Coturnix japonica: one gene and its partner. The protein of the gene in region 1 interacts with the protein of each later gene in a biochemical or structural test. Links are inferred from orthologs where the notes say so. Each region holds a gene or a part of one and is shown on either strand. Other genes may lie near its edges.

The links.
Region 2: the proteins of LOXL1 (region 1) and FBLN5 form a complex in vitro, tested with the Homo sapiens proteins (2 studies listed by BioGRID and IntAct). The link is inferred for Coturnix japonica from reciprocal best matches to the Homo sapiens genes LOXL1 and FBLN5.

Annotation. Positions count from the first base shown.
Region 1 is NC_029525.1:1,660,962-1,668,983, forward strand, and holds the start of LOXL1 (lysyl oxidase homolog 1), read left to right. Parts: upstream 1-2,773; 5' UTR 2,774-2,926; coding exon 2,927-3,962; intron 3,963-8,022. UniProt on the Homo sapiens protein: Catalyzes the oxidative deamination of lysine and hydroxylysine residues in collagen and elastin, resulting in the formation of covalent cross-linkages, and the stabilization of collagen and elastin fibers.
Region 2 is NC_029520.1:40,339,171-40,347,092, forward strand, and holds part of FBLN5 (fibulin-5), read right to left. Parts: coding exon 7,890-7,922; intron 6,997-7,889; coding exon 6,877-6,996; intron 4,203-6,876; coding exon 4,080-4,202; intron 3,545-4,079; coding exon 3,418-3,544; intron 837-3,417; coding exon 641-836; intron 1-640. UniProt on the Homo sapiens protein: Essential for elastic fiber formation, is involved in the assembly of continuous elastin (ELN) polymer and promotes the interaction of microfibrils and ELN. Stabilizes and organizes elastic fibers in the skin, lung and vasculature.

The DNA of each region.
Region 1 (8,022 bases):
ACATCTGGAGCTGCCCCTCACTTCATCCCAGAGACCAAACAAGCTGAAGGATGTCAGATTCCCCCCCACCCCCCATGCCCAGAGCACATTTCTCTTTTTCCCCAGACAGTTCCCATCGTGTTTTTCAATTGCTCTTAATGGAGATGTCCATCACGGGGCACATTAACCCAGATATGATTCCAAGCATAGAGATGCACTAATGACCATTTAACCCATGTACGTAGCCTGGCTGGCTGAAGACTATTTTTCTTTCCTTCCTCCATTTTTCCTTCTCTTTTAACCCCTGGGCCAGCTGCTGGATAGCTGTTTATTTTGAGCAGGGCACAAAGACCTCTTTTAGGAGTAAGTGCTACGGTCCTACTGCTGCATTATGGAGCATAAAGCACAGTAATACTCAACCAATTACGTTAATGCTGCTTATTTGCTCTTGTTACAGAGCGTAATTGCTCACCCAGAAGCTATTAAATTAGATAAGAGCAGAACAAACAAAACTATTCATTTTATTCACTATATATTTATACACCTACCACTCCAGAGCGAGCAGTCACCACGCTCAGCAGCACGGATTCCTCCTGTGGGTGTAATGGAGGTGATGTATTGCAGAAAGCAATGAAGGTCGGGGAACCCCCTGAATCCTCATGGTGACCCACAGATGTTGTCACCACTGGCTTTTGGTCGCTCCCATGGGTGAGCATTGGGCGGATAATGGGATGAACGGGAAGCCCCCAGTTGCCAGCTGGGAGGAGAGTTGGAATCCACTGAATCTTGCATTAAAACTGAAGGGAAAGTCCTATTTAAGTGCTTCTTTTCGCCTGAGTGAGGATGCAGAAGTTGGAGGGAAGCCTGGCACAGCTCCGTGATATTGGGAAACCCTAAGAGTTTAAGCAAGCATCGATCCAAACCAGGCCGGAAACCACATCGGTGGGGAAGCAGTGCAGAAGTGGTTTGGTTATGGGGGGAGAGGTAAAGCAGATGAGAAGGGGACTGGAGGGACACCGAGGGGGTGGCTGTCCCCACCCAAGTGTGGGCTGCTGGCACCATCTAGTGGGTGCTGCCCCCCCTCCCCCCACTGTGCTGCAGTGTCACCGCCTCCACTGGTGGCCCAGGGTCCTTCTTGGGGACAAGAACGTGGCCACCCCATTGGGGATGTGGGGTGGGATCCTGTGTCCCCCAGTGAAGGAGGTGGGGATGGTGTCCCTAATGCCACAGTGTTGTCACACGGGTGATGTGACAGAGCTGCTGGTCCTGCTCAGCGTGCCTTCGTGCTAGGGGAGGGGATAGCGAGCCATGCGGGACACCCAGGTATGGGGTACTGGAGTCAAGGGGGGGTCTGAAGACAGCCAAGGGGGCTAAGCTGGCTGTGGGGCTGTGTGCCTCCAGCCGGGCTGTGTGCAGGGCTGGGGAGCATCCTCATCACCCCACGACCCCACATCCCCTTCCATGACAGAATCCCACATCACAGAGCTATAGGACATGGGGACGCAGCGGGGGGGGGGGGGAGCTGGGCTGAGCTTCCCGTCCTGGCGAGCCGCTGCCTATGACATCAACTCTGGTATTTCCAGTCCCTGCGGGGAGAAGGGAGGAGCGCAGAGGGAAGGACGGAGAAAGAAAGAAAGAAGGAAAGAAATAGGGGGGTGGGGAACGCAGCTGTTGGGGGGACCCGGGGGGGGTCACTTCGGTCCCCGTGGTGGTGCCCAGTGCTGGAGCGAGCCCTGCTCGGGAGCTCGTCCCTATCCGTCCCCGTGCTGGCCCCATAGTCTAGGCAGGGGAGGAAGGGAGGGATAAAAGGAGAAAAGGAAAAAAATCTCCACGTGGAAAACGCACAGCCGGCACTTAAAGCAACAGGGAAGCAGGGACGAGGCTTTGGGTGCCTCTCCTTCCCCAAGGGGGGTGGGATGAGCATCTCCGGGTGTCCCCACATTGACTCTAAGGGGGAAAATCTCCACTTTGGGGCGCAGTTAAAGACTGAGAGGGCACTGTGCCCCTCACCCCCGTGCTGGAGGGAGGGGGGTGGGGGGGTCTTGGGTCCACATCCCTCTTCTGGAGCCATTTCACAGTGGTTTTATGTCTGAAGGATTGGACTCAAAGCACTGGGTGGGGGAGCTGGGGGAGGGGGCTGAAGGCAGAGGGTGAAAATCCCACTGTGGCTTTTGATCCTGATTGGGAACAGTGTCATTTATTGTGATTTAGGGGATATATGGTCGGGGGATTGTGCTTCAGGGGGAACAATAGTTTGGGGAGGGGGTATGTGGGGGGTGGGTATTTTGGTGGGGCAGCATTTGGGGGAGTGTTTGGGAGAGGGTATTTGGGGGTTAGGGTATTTAAGAAGGGGGTATTTGGGATGATGATTGGGGGAGGAGTTTGGGGAGGGGAGGCTTTATGGGGGCGTATGGAAAGGGTTTAGGGAGAGTATTGGGGGGTATTTAGGGGGAGGTGTTTTGGGAGGGTGGATATTTGGGAAGGGCATTTGGTGGGGGGTGCTTGGGGGGGTTTCTGGCTGGGAGTACTTGGGAGGAGGGTGCTTGGGGAAGGTATTTGGGGGGGGGTACTGGGGGGATCTTCGGGGTTCATATTGGGAGGGATATTGGGGAGGGATCTTTGGGGGTTCATATTTGGGGGGTATTGGGGGGGGGGATGGGGGAGAAGGAATGTTGGGAGGGATGCCGGGGGAGGTCCCGAGGTGCGGGGAGGCGTTGGGGCGGGATCTGGGATAGGGACACTCGGACCCCCCCCCCCTTTCTCAATCCCAATCCCTCCTCCCTCTGCCGGGCGGGGGCGGAGGAGGCGCTTAGGACCCGGCGTCGCCCCCCACATCCCGCCGCCCCGCAGCGAGCGCGGCCGCCGCGCCGAGCCGAACCGAACCGAACCGCGCCGGGGATGGGCAGAGGCGGCGGGCCGGGGGCCGGGGGCCGCTAGCGGGGCGGCGATGGGGCTCCGCGGGGCTTGGGGGCTGTGGGCGGCGCTGAGCTGCGCCGTGTGCCTGCTGGCGGCCGGGCAGGAGGCCGCGGGGGGCGGCGTAGGGGAGCCGTGGAGGCAGCTGATCCAGTGGGAGAACAACGGCAGGGTGTACAGCCTGCTCAACAGCGGCGCCGAGTACGTACCGCCGGGCCCCGAGCGGCCGGGGGGAGCACGCCTGGTGCTGGGCCGGGCCGGGGTACGGCGGCAAGCGGCCCCGGTGCGCAGCGCATCCGAGACGGTGCGAGGGCACACGCGGCACCCGTTCGGCTTCGGGCAGGTGCCCGATAACTGGAGGGACGGGCCGCTGGGGGACGGCGGCGGGGCCGGGGCGGCGCAGCGGGCGAGGGCGGCGGGGAGACCGCGGCAGCCTTCGTCCTCATCATCATCATCCTCGGCCGCCTCGTCCTTCGCCTACGCGGCCGCGGGACACGCCGCCTACCCGCAGCCGCCCTTCGAGCAGCACGAGGCGGCCCCGAGGGCTTACGACGAAGCTTACACGTATTATCGAAGCGGAGGGGGCGGTGGGGTGGCGGTGGCGGCGGCGGGGGCCGGGGTGTTGTACCCCTTCCAGCCCCGAGCCCGCTACGAGGACTACGGGGAGGAGCAGAGCCCCTACAGGGCGCAGGGCTTCTACCCGGAGCGGCCCTACGCTGCCCCGCAGGATGGCTTGGACCGCCGCTACTCGCACAGCCTGTACCACGATGCTGGGACGGTCCCGGAGCACGGCACTGCAGATGGGTACGGCACCAACCAGCGCGGCTCGGCCGTCACCAACGATAACCTCCAAGGTCCCGTCGGGTCCCAGCCGGTGAGCGGGACGGCATATGGGAATCAATACCAACCCTACGAGGCGCAGCCGCCCTTCAGGGCGCTGGAACCCTACGGGGCGGTGCGTCCCGATGTCTTCGTCCCGGCCAGGAGCCCCGAGGTGGCACAGGCTGTACCTGACAGCCAGGCACGGCTCAGCGTGGGCAGCGTCTACAGGCCCAGCCATGGAGGACGGGGTGAGTTGTGGGGCCCTATAGGGGTGAAGTGGGGCTCGGGGTGCTCCTGGCTCTTGGATGTAGCAGCTCTTTGCACCAGGGTCTGGTGGTCATGTTGTCATGGTCGGAGACCCTGTGTGATGTGGGAAGGATGAGCTGGGTGGTGGAGGATGAAGAGGTGCACATCCCAGTGTGGTCAGGCATAGAGTAGGTCTCTGCCATGACCCAGGTGTCCATGGAGTGGCTTGATGCCATGTCTCAGGTCCTGCCGTGTCCAAGGGGTTGGTCTGTGCCATGACCCAAGTCTTGCTTCGTCCATGGGGTGGACTGATGCCTTGTCCCACGTCCTACTGTGTCCGTGAAGTGGGGCTCTGCCTTGTCCCATGGGTCCATGGGGTTGGTCTGTGCCATGACCCAGGTGCTACTGTGTCCATGGAGTAGCTTGATGCCATGTCTCAGGTCCTGCTGTGTCTATGGGGTTGGTCTGTGCCATGGCCAGGTCCTGCTGCATCCATGGAGTGGATCTGTGCTGTGTCCCAGGTCCTCCTACACCTATGGGTGGCTTTATGCTGTGTCCCAGCTCCTTCTGTGGCCATGGAATGGGCTTTTGCAGTGTTCCAGTTCCTCCTACAGCTGTGGGTGAAACGTGTACCAAGGGATGGGGACACACTGTATTTGTGGGATGGTTCTGTGCCATGTCTCAATCATGGGGTGGCTCTGTGCCATGTTCCAAGTGATCCTACAACTTTGGGGTGCATGTGGTGGGTTGGTTGTGTGCCACATCCCAGGTCCTGCTGTGTTTGTGGGGTAGTTTTATGCCTTGCCCTGAGTCCTCCTGTGGTTATATAGTATATAGGTTATATAGTAGGTTATAGAGTAGATGTGTGCTGTGGGATGGGGACACGCTGTGCTCATGGGGAGGCTGTGTGTCGTGTCCCTTCTCACCCTACACCCATGGGCTGGACGTGTGCTCCATCAGCCCCGGCAGAAGGCCCAGCAGGGACACCACAGCTAGGAGCCCTACTGACCCCAATAGTGATGAAATCCTGTGGCTTTTGGCTTGAGCTGTGCTGAGTGTTTCACTCTGTGCTGAAACGTGAGGAGCAACAGCCTGGGGGTTCTGCTTCTTGCCTGTCCCATGGGAAACCTCCTCAGCTGGAGCCTCTGACTCAACTGACCCCATAACATCCAGCCCAGCCCTGGGTTCTGGGAAAAGCCAATCTCAGAGGGATCCTCCTTGGAGAAGCCATGCTTCGTCCCAGCCCCATTGCGTGCAAACAAGTAAACACGGCACCAGTGGCCAGCCTGGGTCAGTGAGAGGTCTGTGCAACCGTGTGGGAAAGGGTTTGGGGTGGCAACACTGGGATCAGAAACAAAAGGAAGGAATTAGGATCAGCGGAGCCACCAAGCAGCAAACAAGGACCTGACATAAGGATGGTGACACGTCCCTGGGTCCCTGGGCTTCGGGGTCACCTGTGGAGCCACCCTCCCTTAATTGCTCCCAAGTTTTGGGAGCAGAACCAAGTGTTAATTATGCTCCTAATCTGCTCAAACACCCCTAATCCTGCCTGGCTCCGTGAGGAATGCTTGGCATCCACTGCTGGCTGGGCCACCTGGGGGTGAGCAGAGCGATCCCATCCCTGTGCCTTTATCCAGGTGGATCCGAGGGGCTGAGGGCAGCCTGTCCCCATCCCAACCAGCATCCTGGATGGACACAGCAGGAAACCCACATCCCTCCAAGCCTTCACGTTGGGTCCATTATCCCGACCCCATACCTGGAGCCGCTTCCTCCAGCACCAGGAAAGGCAAAGCTGTGCCAGGAGGAGGCTGTGGAAAATTCCACCCTGTGAGGGCACACGAGGCTCCATAGTCCCTCCAGGACCATGTTCCATAGGAGCAGTGCTGAACAAAGGGCTGATTTTATGGCTTTGACCTCATCTCCTTCTGGCCCCGCTCTGAGGGTGAAGGCAAGCGGTGTCTGTCTGTATTCTTGCCTGCTTGCAATCCTGAACACGTGAACTTAAAACAAAAACAACCCATCCCTCCTCCTCCTTCCATCCTCCCAGTTCTCTCCCATATATATAGATAGATAGACATTTTGTGTGTGTTTGCTTTTTGCCCTTTTCTTAAGGCTTTTCTACCTGTAGGAAGCATTTAGGATCACGAGCACGGAGCGGGTGTCTCTTTGGGCGCAGCTGAATGTTGCAGAGCAGTGAGTCAGCTCCTATGAAGCTGAAGTTGGCCAAGACATCTGGCTGTCTTTGCAGACAGAAAAGAGGGAAAAAGCCCATTTTCCCTTGATTTTTTCTTTCTTTCTTTCTTTGGCATCTCCTCTTTGCTTTCCAGCTTTGTCTGCCCTTCAGGTCTGCAGGTTGGTTGGCTGCTTGGACAGGAGTTTCCTGCTGAGGATGCTCAGGTTGGGATGCATGGGTTGGGGGTGCTGGGCCCCTCCTGCCTCCACATGGCTCCCATTAGCTTCATGTTGCTTGGATGGCTGTGTTTATACGTGGGTCACTTAGCAACTGCTGGGCCCAGCATGTCCTTCCCCACTTCCCACCACTTCCAATAAGACCTGTGGCCCCAAACCCTTTGCCTGGGGTGATGCTCCCCTCCTTTGTGACAGTTCTGCACATGGACAAACTGAGGTGGGAACAGTTGGGATGGATCTGGGATTCCTGTGTCTCTTCAGGTCTCTTTTGCCAGCTTGGATCCAGCTTTCTCCAATTGGTGGAGGTGCCCCATCCCTGGTGATGCCCCATCCCTGGATGGAGCTGTGGGCAGCCCCAGCTGCTGGGGGCATCCAGCCCATGGCAGGGGTTGGAGCTGGGGGAAGGGGGGGCTTGAAGGTCCCTTCCAACCCAACCATTCCATGATTCTCCCTTGCAGGGGGTGCTGGGGGAAGGAGCCAGCCCCACTCCCTTCATTCAGGCTCATAAAAGTGGGTTTTTTTCAGCTAAGCCCTGCACACCTGCACAAACAGCACGGCGGGGAGCAGGCCTGGCTTGGTATTATTCTAATTTTCACGGTGCATGAGAAGGAAATCTTCTCTGGCAGCTCCCCGGGCAGGCAGAGAGGCAAAGGGGAGGAGAGGAAAAACAAACAATTTCTTGCTGTGGTTGTCCCTTTTTGGAGGCAGGAGATGGGGGCTGCCAGGTCTGGGCTTACAGGAGGTGGAAAAGAGCATAGTCAGCAAAAAGGAGGATCTGACTGGGCTGTTTGGGGTGTTCATTGCCCACAAACAGGCTGGGATGGTGACCCTACAAATAACAGCAGGACCAGCATCGCTTCTGGGGGGGGGTGGAAAATCCTCTCTGGGAAAGGAGTCGGGTTTCTCTGCTGAGCATCCAAGAAGTTATTATAAACAACAGCACAGAGGAAGAGTTATTCTGTAAATCAGAACGAACGTTCCTCCTCCCAGCATCTCATCATGGGACGGGCACCAACTGTGGATGCTCAGGCCCGAAATGCAGCTCAGCCACCTCGCAGGGTCTCATTTGGGTGCTGTCGTGTTATTATTGTGTTTAACTTCAGCCCTGCTGCCTCCCCCTCGCCCCACAGACCCCCCTGGGCATTACATCAGCATCATGACCAAGCAACGGGGCAGGAAACGAGCTCCAATCGAGTGACGTGATCCCTCGAGGGAAGCCAGGCTGGGAAACAAGAAGGCATTGTTCTGCTCGCCCATGGAAAAGAAATGGGAAATAAAGGGGGGGAATGAGAGGGAAAATATACAACATGCTGGATAGTCTTGGTGTAAAGGGAGGAGCTGGGCTGGCTGATGGGGTAGGGATGGGGATGATGAGGGTGATAATGGGAATGGGGATGAGGATGGTGTTGAGAACGCTGAGGGTGAGAAATGGGATGGAGATGGGACGGGGTTTAGAAATGAGAATGATGTAGATCAGGGTGGGAATAGGGATGGGGATGAGGATAGAGATGGGGGTGAGGATGATGAGGATGAGAATGGGGATGAAGGTGGGAATGGGGATAGGAAGAGGATGGAGATGGAGATGCAGGTGAAGGTGGGAATGAGGATGGGGATGAGAACGGTGCAGATGGGGGTGGCAGTGGGGATGGGGTT
Region 2 (7,922 bases), on another chromosome or scaffold:
GTGGGACCTGCTTTCCTATGAAAAGGAGCATTTACATTACCTCTGATAAGAGAGGCCTAAGAAGCGTTGAGAAGGAGCTGCCTGGAGAACCAGCAGCATCCCAAGCACTGTGTATCCCATGCCCTCAGCTCTGCCCACTCCTGCTGGGTGCAGAGCAAGGAACAGGCACCACCTGCTGGCTACACACCCGCACGGGAATGTGCTGCCAGGGAAGGAAAAAGACAGCTTGTGCCAGCAAAGTACTTCAGGTGACAAATGGATGGCTATGTGATAATTGAATACAAGGAGAAAGCAGTCTTGGGCAACGGTGCTCATCGATGCAGCCTTAGCAATTGCCAGTTTGACCCAGACTAGTGGGATTAGTAATGACTTTACAACAGGAAAGAGTTCATGGGATATCCATGATCACTCCTGGACCAGTAAAATGAGTGTATTTGCTTTGAGTAAGTTAACTTCATGAAAAAAAGAAAGACAGCAAAAAACAAATGCAGCTCCCACAGGCCAGTTTGTTGCTCTGCAAGTCTGAGTGTAAAAAATATCTCATACTGAAGGTTTAAATGGCACTCAATAAAAGTACAGTCCTTCTGTCAGAAAGAAACGCAGCTACTCCAGTTTTTTTCCCAGCCAGTGCCAGACTTACCCGCATGTAGAATTCCCTGCCCTCGTTCCCTGATTTGATTTGGAAGATGTAATAGGCTCCAGGGTAGCGAGTTGTTGCTTGCATCTGAAAGATGTCAGAAGGCACTGAACGCCCAGACAGAACATCCATGACTCTGTACAGGATGGTGAATGGTTGATCTCTGCAGCCGGGGTTTTCAGCTGGACACATACAGCGGCTAACAGAGAGACAGGACTGTCATCAGTGGTTACAAATCCCTGTAACACTTCATTCTTTACATTCTAATACAGCTGCAAATAATCAGGTGATCAACCAATGAATCAAGTTGCCAACAGCTAAAATGATCAATTTTGCTTGTAATGAATTTTCTCTCTGATACTGTTCTCTGCACTGCTACTCCAGTTTGCCTTCATCCCTGCTTTCTTTTTCTTGTCTTCCAGGTTTTGCCAAGGTATCTTGGCGTCACATTTGTCATTAGATCACTGAAAATTCAATACTTTCTTTAAGGAAGATCTGCAGGTGTAGAATGCCTTGTGTGTGTTTGTTCTGATAGTAATTTAAACTGGTAATTATTGGATCATTTCAGTAACAGTGTGACATAAATACTGTATTAGTGGTTTAATAAAAACAAACAGTGAGACTTCCTGGATTGGAACCAAAGCTCATAGATCAATCACAAAGCTCTAAAGAGGAGCAGAACAGCAAGTCAGGCATATGACATCTCCACCAGCAGCCTCCAATCATCTGCAACCTCAGGAAACCCTTGAAACAAAGATGTCTTCTGTATATTTGCCTTCCCTCAATGTATTTCTTACCCACTGACATGTTCAACTTCCCCTTACACCTCCATGACACCTTGCTGCCAATAGCTCCAAAGTCCCTCCCTGCGTGCCCACCTCCCTCCCTGCACTGCCCCTTGCTGACTTTGATCCTCTCAGCTCTTGAGAGCACACCCAATCCCTGCTCATTCTCCACATGCAGCTCATAGCTTCATATTTGACTTTCTTTATGGCTGGAGAATCCTAACCTTGATGCTTCTTACAAGGAACCGGTTCCCTACTCTTGATGGTCTTTGTCACCCTTCATGAATCTTTGTCTGGTCATATCACAGGTAACAAAACTGGTGACAATCTTGAAGATATAGGTACACAGTTGTACTTAGTACTACAGATCATGGAACCATCTGGAACAATCTTTAAACCTCACTTTGGAGGGACTATGATCAGGTCATTACTTTTTATTTTATTTAACTTGTGAAACTCGGATTGTTTTTCTACTTTACATTAATATACACTGAATTTGAATTTAACATGATCGTTGAGGCTCCTTCTGCAATTCTCTTCTCATCTTTCAACCTCTTATTCATCTGTGCCAGGTATTTCTTACTTACGGCTGCTTAATTTCCATAGAAGCCTGAAGTAGGGCTCTTTTCAGAAACCTTTGGAAACCCAAGCAGACCACATCAACCCATGTCCCTTAGCCACAAGCTGCTAATTTTTTCAGAGACCTCCAATAAAATGCAGGATATCCCTTTATAAAAGCCATGTTGGGGAATTTACTGGATGGAAAATAAGGCTTTTCTGTCTATTTTTTTAAATTTTTTCTATAACCTCCATCATTGACACCAGCTTCAGACAGTTCCTCTGGCACATTCTACATAAAACAGTTCCTGGCATTATTAACACCCCATTCCTTCCACAGAGAACACAGATGCAATGAATTTGCTTGACTTTTATACTGACCACTTCTAGACATATGCCACAAATTAAATGCAGTCACATCTAGATAGGAGCCAAAGCCACCAAATACAAAGCTTGGAGATCAAGAACTTTGGTGCAAGCTGATTTGTAAATACTCCACAGTTAGGCTCTGAGGCATTTAGATACAGAGGCTTTAGACATTTCAAGACCTAGTTTAAGATTTCAACTCCTCTGAAGGTACATAGACCCAGAACTGGCTGAACAAAACTTGTCTGCTCCTCAGCTGCCTAGCTCAGAAAGCAATGTATGGACACAAGTGCATTGTCATGGGATGCACTAAATTCTTCATCTCTTTCTTTTGTATAAAATGCATAGGCTACCAAGTAATTTCAAGAAATTGGATTTAGAACAAACATGGATTAAATTCTATGACTTGCACCACACAGAGATCTATCTGAGGCTGAAATATTTTAAGCTCCAGGCAAGTACCTACAAAAATGTAAAAGAACTGAGCACTACTTAGAAATGTGTATTGCACCACCGTCCCTCCTCCCTGGCAAAATGTATTTGCTCAGATGATTCTGAGTTTAGACACTAACAGCTAATTGTCCCATTCAGAATTACCCAGTTTTCAGACTGTGCAAATCACTCTGTGGACTGCTGTTTTTCCACACATCTAACCCTTGAGCAGTAGGAATCTACTTGTGTTCTGCTATAACTAGCATCTAATGTTTTTAAAGCACTTCCTGGACATGAGCTAGTTAGTATTTACAGGAAATATTCACATTAACAAACAGGCTGCATTTAAGCATATATGAAGTCAGTAACATAATTAAAGTGTCTTTAGTACATTACAAACCTTGCTGTTTCCTCTACTCACTGATAAAGTGTTTTTCCAGTCTAACTTCCCACACATCTGAGTATCTTATCATATCCCACCTGGTGACCTGGTAAGGAATTGCAATTTATTATTTGTATAAAGCTTACTAATGGTAAACTCTCCAGACATACTTCATGGCTCTGTTGCAAAAAGCAGCTTAGTTGGCTCACCAGGTATGCTTTATGCAGTTAGAATTTGTGGCTGTGGGTATTACTTACTTCTCATTAATCTGGATATAAGGTTCCTCACATCTTACTGGATCTAAACATTTATAATCTCCTGGGATATTGTAACATGTTTGCTGTAGAGTGCAGGTGAAGTTTCTAATTTCACATTCATTGATATCTAAAATACAAAAAAGCAAGAGAAAAGATAAAATAGCTTAAGACACTGCTATTCAGCTATTTCTGTCCAATGTCCATTGTAAGGAATTGACCAAAAATTTACTCTTGCACCATAAGAAGTGGCTTTTGATAACTGGTCCCACTTTTAAGATTAGTTTTCACCCCATTAATTTCCCCTGGTTGGAGTCCTCCCCTATGCAAAATGCTATAGAAGTAAAAAAGAAACTGCTGCTCAAGCTCTCTAAGCTTAGAAAAAAGTGAAAACTAAATAGAGACGTGCAGCAGAGAGGAGAGCATCTGAGGGCTTTACTGTGTAGCTGGTTATTAGTAGAGCCCTCCTTAGACCATCACACCAATTGACCTCATTGGGACTGCTCATGTGATGACGTTCTCACCAGAATCACATAATTGGCCCCTATGAGTATGTCACTATGCAATGCCAAGACTAAGAAACTGAGTCCTTGAAAACCACTTTCCAGATACTGGACTTATTTTCTAGTCCCTCTGGGTTTTAATCAGTGCTGCAATGCTCTTACCTTGGCAGCTTCTGCTATCATCAAGCAGGTTATAGCCCGAAGGACAGACACAGTAGTAAGAACCAGGCCCATTCACACATTCATGCTGGCAGAGGAACTCTGAGAAGCTGCATTCATCCATGTCTGTGGTGGTAAAACAAAGTTTAGAATCTTTGGCTTCACAGTTAAAAGCATAGTCCCACAAGCAGGTGGCCATCCAGACGTGCCTATCATCCCAGCTGGAGGCTGGCATCATCCAATTCCCTGGAGCTCTGAGGCAGCCTGGCAAAATGCTGTTAAACAAGATCTTGGCTAAATTCTTTATTATTTTATTTTATTTTATTTTATTTTATTATTATTTTAACCAAAGCTTCTGCTCAGCAAGATGCATGACTCTTACTTATTTTTCTTTCTGAATACCTGTCATCAGTTGGCCATATTTTCTGTTCTGTTTTACGTCAGAGATAGAGGTGCTCCAACTACAAAGCTACAACTGTAATTTGTAAGGAGAGACTTGATGGTATTTTTTTACTTTTTAATTTTTTTTCTTTTTTCTTTCTTTTTTTTCTTTTTTTTTTTTTTTTTCCTGGAGAGTGTACTTCCCTTTCCCAGAGCCTTATGGGTCCCAGTAGAAATCCTGTAGCCAGCCCTGGCTGTTTTATGTTACTTAGCCTCTAGCCAGTTACTTGTAATGCATTATAGCAAGACTTCAGAGCTCATCCCAGCTTGGGTCAAACTTACTGGAAGGCCCAGTGATCTCCCACATACCAAGGAAGCTAAGCAGTCTGTCCAGTCTCGGACTAAAATCAGTTTATGATCTCTTTTCCCCTTTTACTCATGAACTGAAAAGAAATCTTATACTGTGGAACCATTTTCAAATGGGAAAGATGCACTTCGGAGCTGCAATGGAAGCATGGCTGACTGAGAGGAAAACACATGCAAAGGCGCTAGAATGAGGGAGGCTGCTGTTAATCATTTCCTTCTTTTTCTGTGCAGGGGAAGAGAGAAACAAAGGCCAGAGTCCCAGCCAGGAACTCCCAAGTTCGAATTCCCAGCTCTAACATTGACCCTCAGAGCAAATCACTTTTACTCTTCAGACTGAATTTCCCTTTCTTTTAAATTGGACTCCGTCCATTTATCCACTTCTGGTGTTTCGTACAGATGTACTGGAGAGTGTTTGAAGTCCAAATACACTAAAATAGCTTTATGTCCACAACTACATTATCAAAAGAGATGAAGGGAACTCTATACCTGCACACTCCTGTTATGTCACTTGCTTCAACGAGTTCTCTGAAAAAGTCACCTTCCTGACAAAACATGGACCAGGGGCTGCCTCCATAAAGAGACTAAGACATTGCCCAGCTCTCTAAGCCTTCTAGCCCAGCCTTCCAGCACCATCAGATTCATAGACTCTGTGCCCAGCTGATGTCAAATGATGGAGATAAAGGCACAAGGGCCATATGTTTCTGTTTATGAGTGACACAGGGCAGATACCTTTGCTATTTCTAAACCCTTCTGCAGTACTACCAACTATGCTCACTGGAACTGCTTCCTTGGTGAGCTTCAGTGATGTCTAGCAATTGCTTGTGAAGTGAAGGAAGTTTATCCAGAGGAATACGATCTGCTTGTGACAAGTGTTTTCTGGCATAGAAGGGTTAAAGGAAGGTTTTCTGCCCTAAATCTGGGTGTTGGAAAATCCTTATTGCTGGCTTAACTTTCATCCATAAATGAAGTTCAGTCACAACCTTTACTGCTGCTATTCTGTTCAGGCAGTGTTTCTGTGGCTCTAGTTTAGGGTTAGGTTTAGACACCCAGATAGCTCAGAAGCATGGACAAGGGCACAGGAGTCTAACTTAGAAGAAGAAATTTCATTAGAAAGCAGAAATCTTAAGTTATGTGCTTCAGCTTTAAATATATATATACACACACATATATAAATACTAAATAAATATAAATATATAAATATGTATAATATGACCCTTTAGAGATTTCAGTCTTTGTACTTTCCTTCAGAATAAGGAGATTTGCATGAAAGAATAGCTTTGGGAACTCTAGTCCATACACATACTGCATATCACGTCTTCTCCCTCAGAAACAGCATGTTACATCTGTTTACTGTGAATTAAAAAACAAGTATTTTCCAGTGTTTTTTCTTCCAAAAAAATACTGGCCATGTTCTCTAATTTTCTCAAGCTGTGGGAACATTAAGCACAGAAATACATTTCATCTTCAATTAAAAAAAAAAAAAAAAAGGAATAAAATAAAAACAAAAACAAGAGAGGAAAAAGTAGAGTGACATAAGCAGTTTCATCTGCTATGAGATGAACAGATCGGCAATAACTGCTAAGAAATGGTACATGATTTCTGAAGTGCAGACAGAGCCATGCAGGGGAAAAAATGTGTGAAATTATAAGAGCAAAAAGAATACATACATTCCACAAATGGAAAAGTGCTTTATGCAAGAGTATTTCTTTAATTGTGGAAAAATGTTCTAGGACTGTCCCTGGTTTACTTGCTTTAGTACGATTCCCATTCAGCACTGGAAACCATTTCCTTATGTTCTGCTGTTATCTTGGAGCTTTTTAATATTTAGCTTAGTTCTTTACAACCTTTTGCAGCCCTCCTCCACTGCACTTTTCTTGGTATTTGCTGCATACCGTAACTGGAAGGAAGATCACATTAGTTGCAGTTATTCTGCTGCTAACTATAAACCAAATCAGAAGACTTCTTAGAAAAGCATATGCAAAACAGGACACTGGAAAAAGAAAGCATAATTGAATTAAAGAAAACAAAACAATAAATAACTGAAGACAGTTACCACTGCAGTTAACTCCGTCAGCTTCCAGTTCGTAACCAGGTTCACAGCGGCAGAGAAAAGAACCATAGGTATTGACACAAGTCTGAGAGCAAGGGTTTTCTCCCGTACATTCATTCACATCTACAGGAAGACAATACGCTGCATCAGTAACTTCTCTCCAAACTCTACTTTCAGTTCATTACTGTAAAGAATTTCAAGGAGATTACCTTTATAGTAAAAGTAATTTGTTCTGAAAAATATAACAAAGTCAGTATTATTTATTGAGGTAACAGATGATGCCAGAAAGAATGTGTTGGAAACAACACACATGGAAACAAAGCATTTTGGCAATGTCTAAAAAGAAAATAACATGAAAGATAGGGTGAAATATTTATTATGAATACTTGTCTCTTTATCTTGTAACATTAAAATCATGGAAAAGATTTTGTCATAACCAATCTGACACAAGATGCAGTAGGATACACCTTAGGGTGATAACACAATGAGGAATAACCCTTATGGGAACTTTGGCTGTGCCAAAACCATTTTTAAATTCATTTATGACATTAACAACTTCTGGAAAGTCTATAATCATTGTCATAGATCATCTTACAGAGAGGTTGTGTTGACTGTGATTCAGGTAGCACATCACAGCAAAAGCTGGTCTGATGGTCAAGACCCTCATCTGGAGCTTAGGTGACTCGGAGCTAATTTGGTGATCTGGCAGAAGTTTTCTGTCTTAGGTAAAAGAGCTTCAGTGCCCAGTTCTTGGTAATTTCAGTACGAATCTAGGGGGGTTGGACCTCCTTGTTTATGTCTATGGATACACTGCTCAGGTTGCATCTGTACCCCTCCTATGTGCTGTGGTGGCAAACAAATGTTCACAAGGGAGCTATAGAAGTATCTCAGAGAAACCTATCAACATTTTCAAAGCAATGCAGGGACATTTACCTGTATGTTAAGAGCTAAACAGATTTTAAAAGCATTGCTTGTTGGTACCAAAGATTTAAATCATGGTTAAGAATGCAACATACCTTGGCATGATCTTCCATCATCGTTAAGGGTAA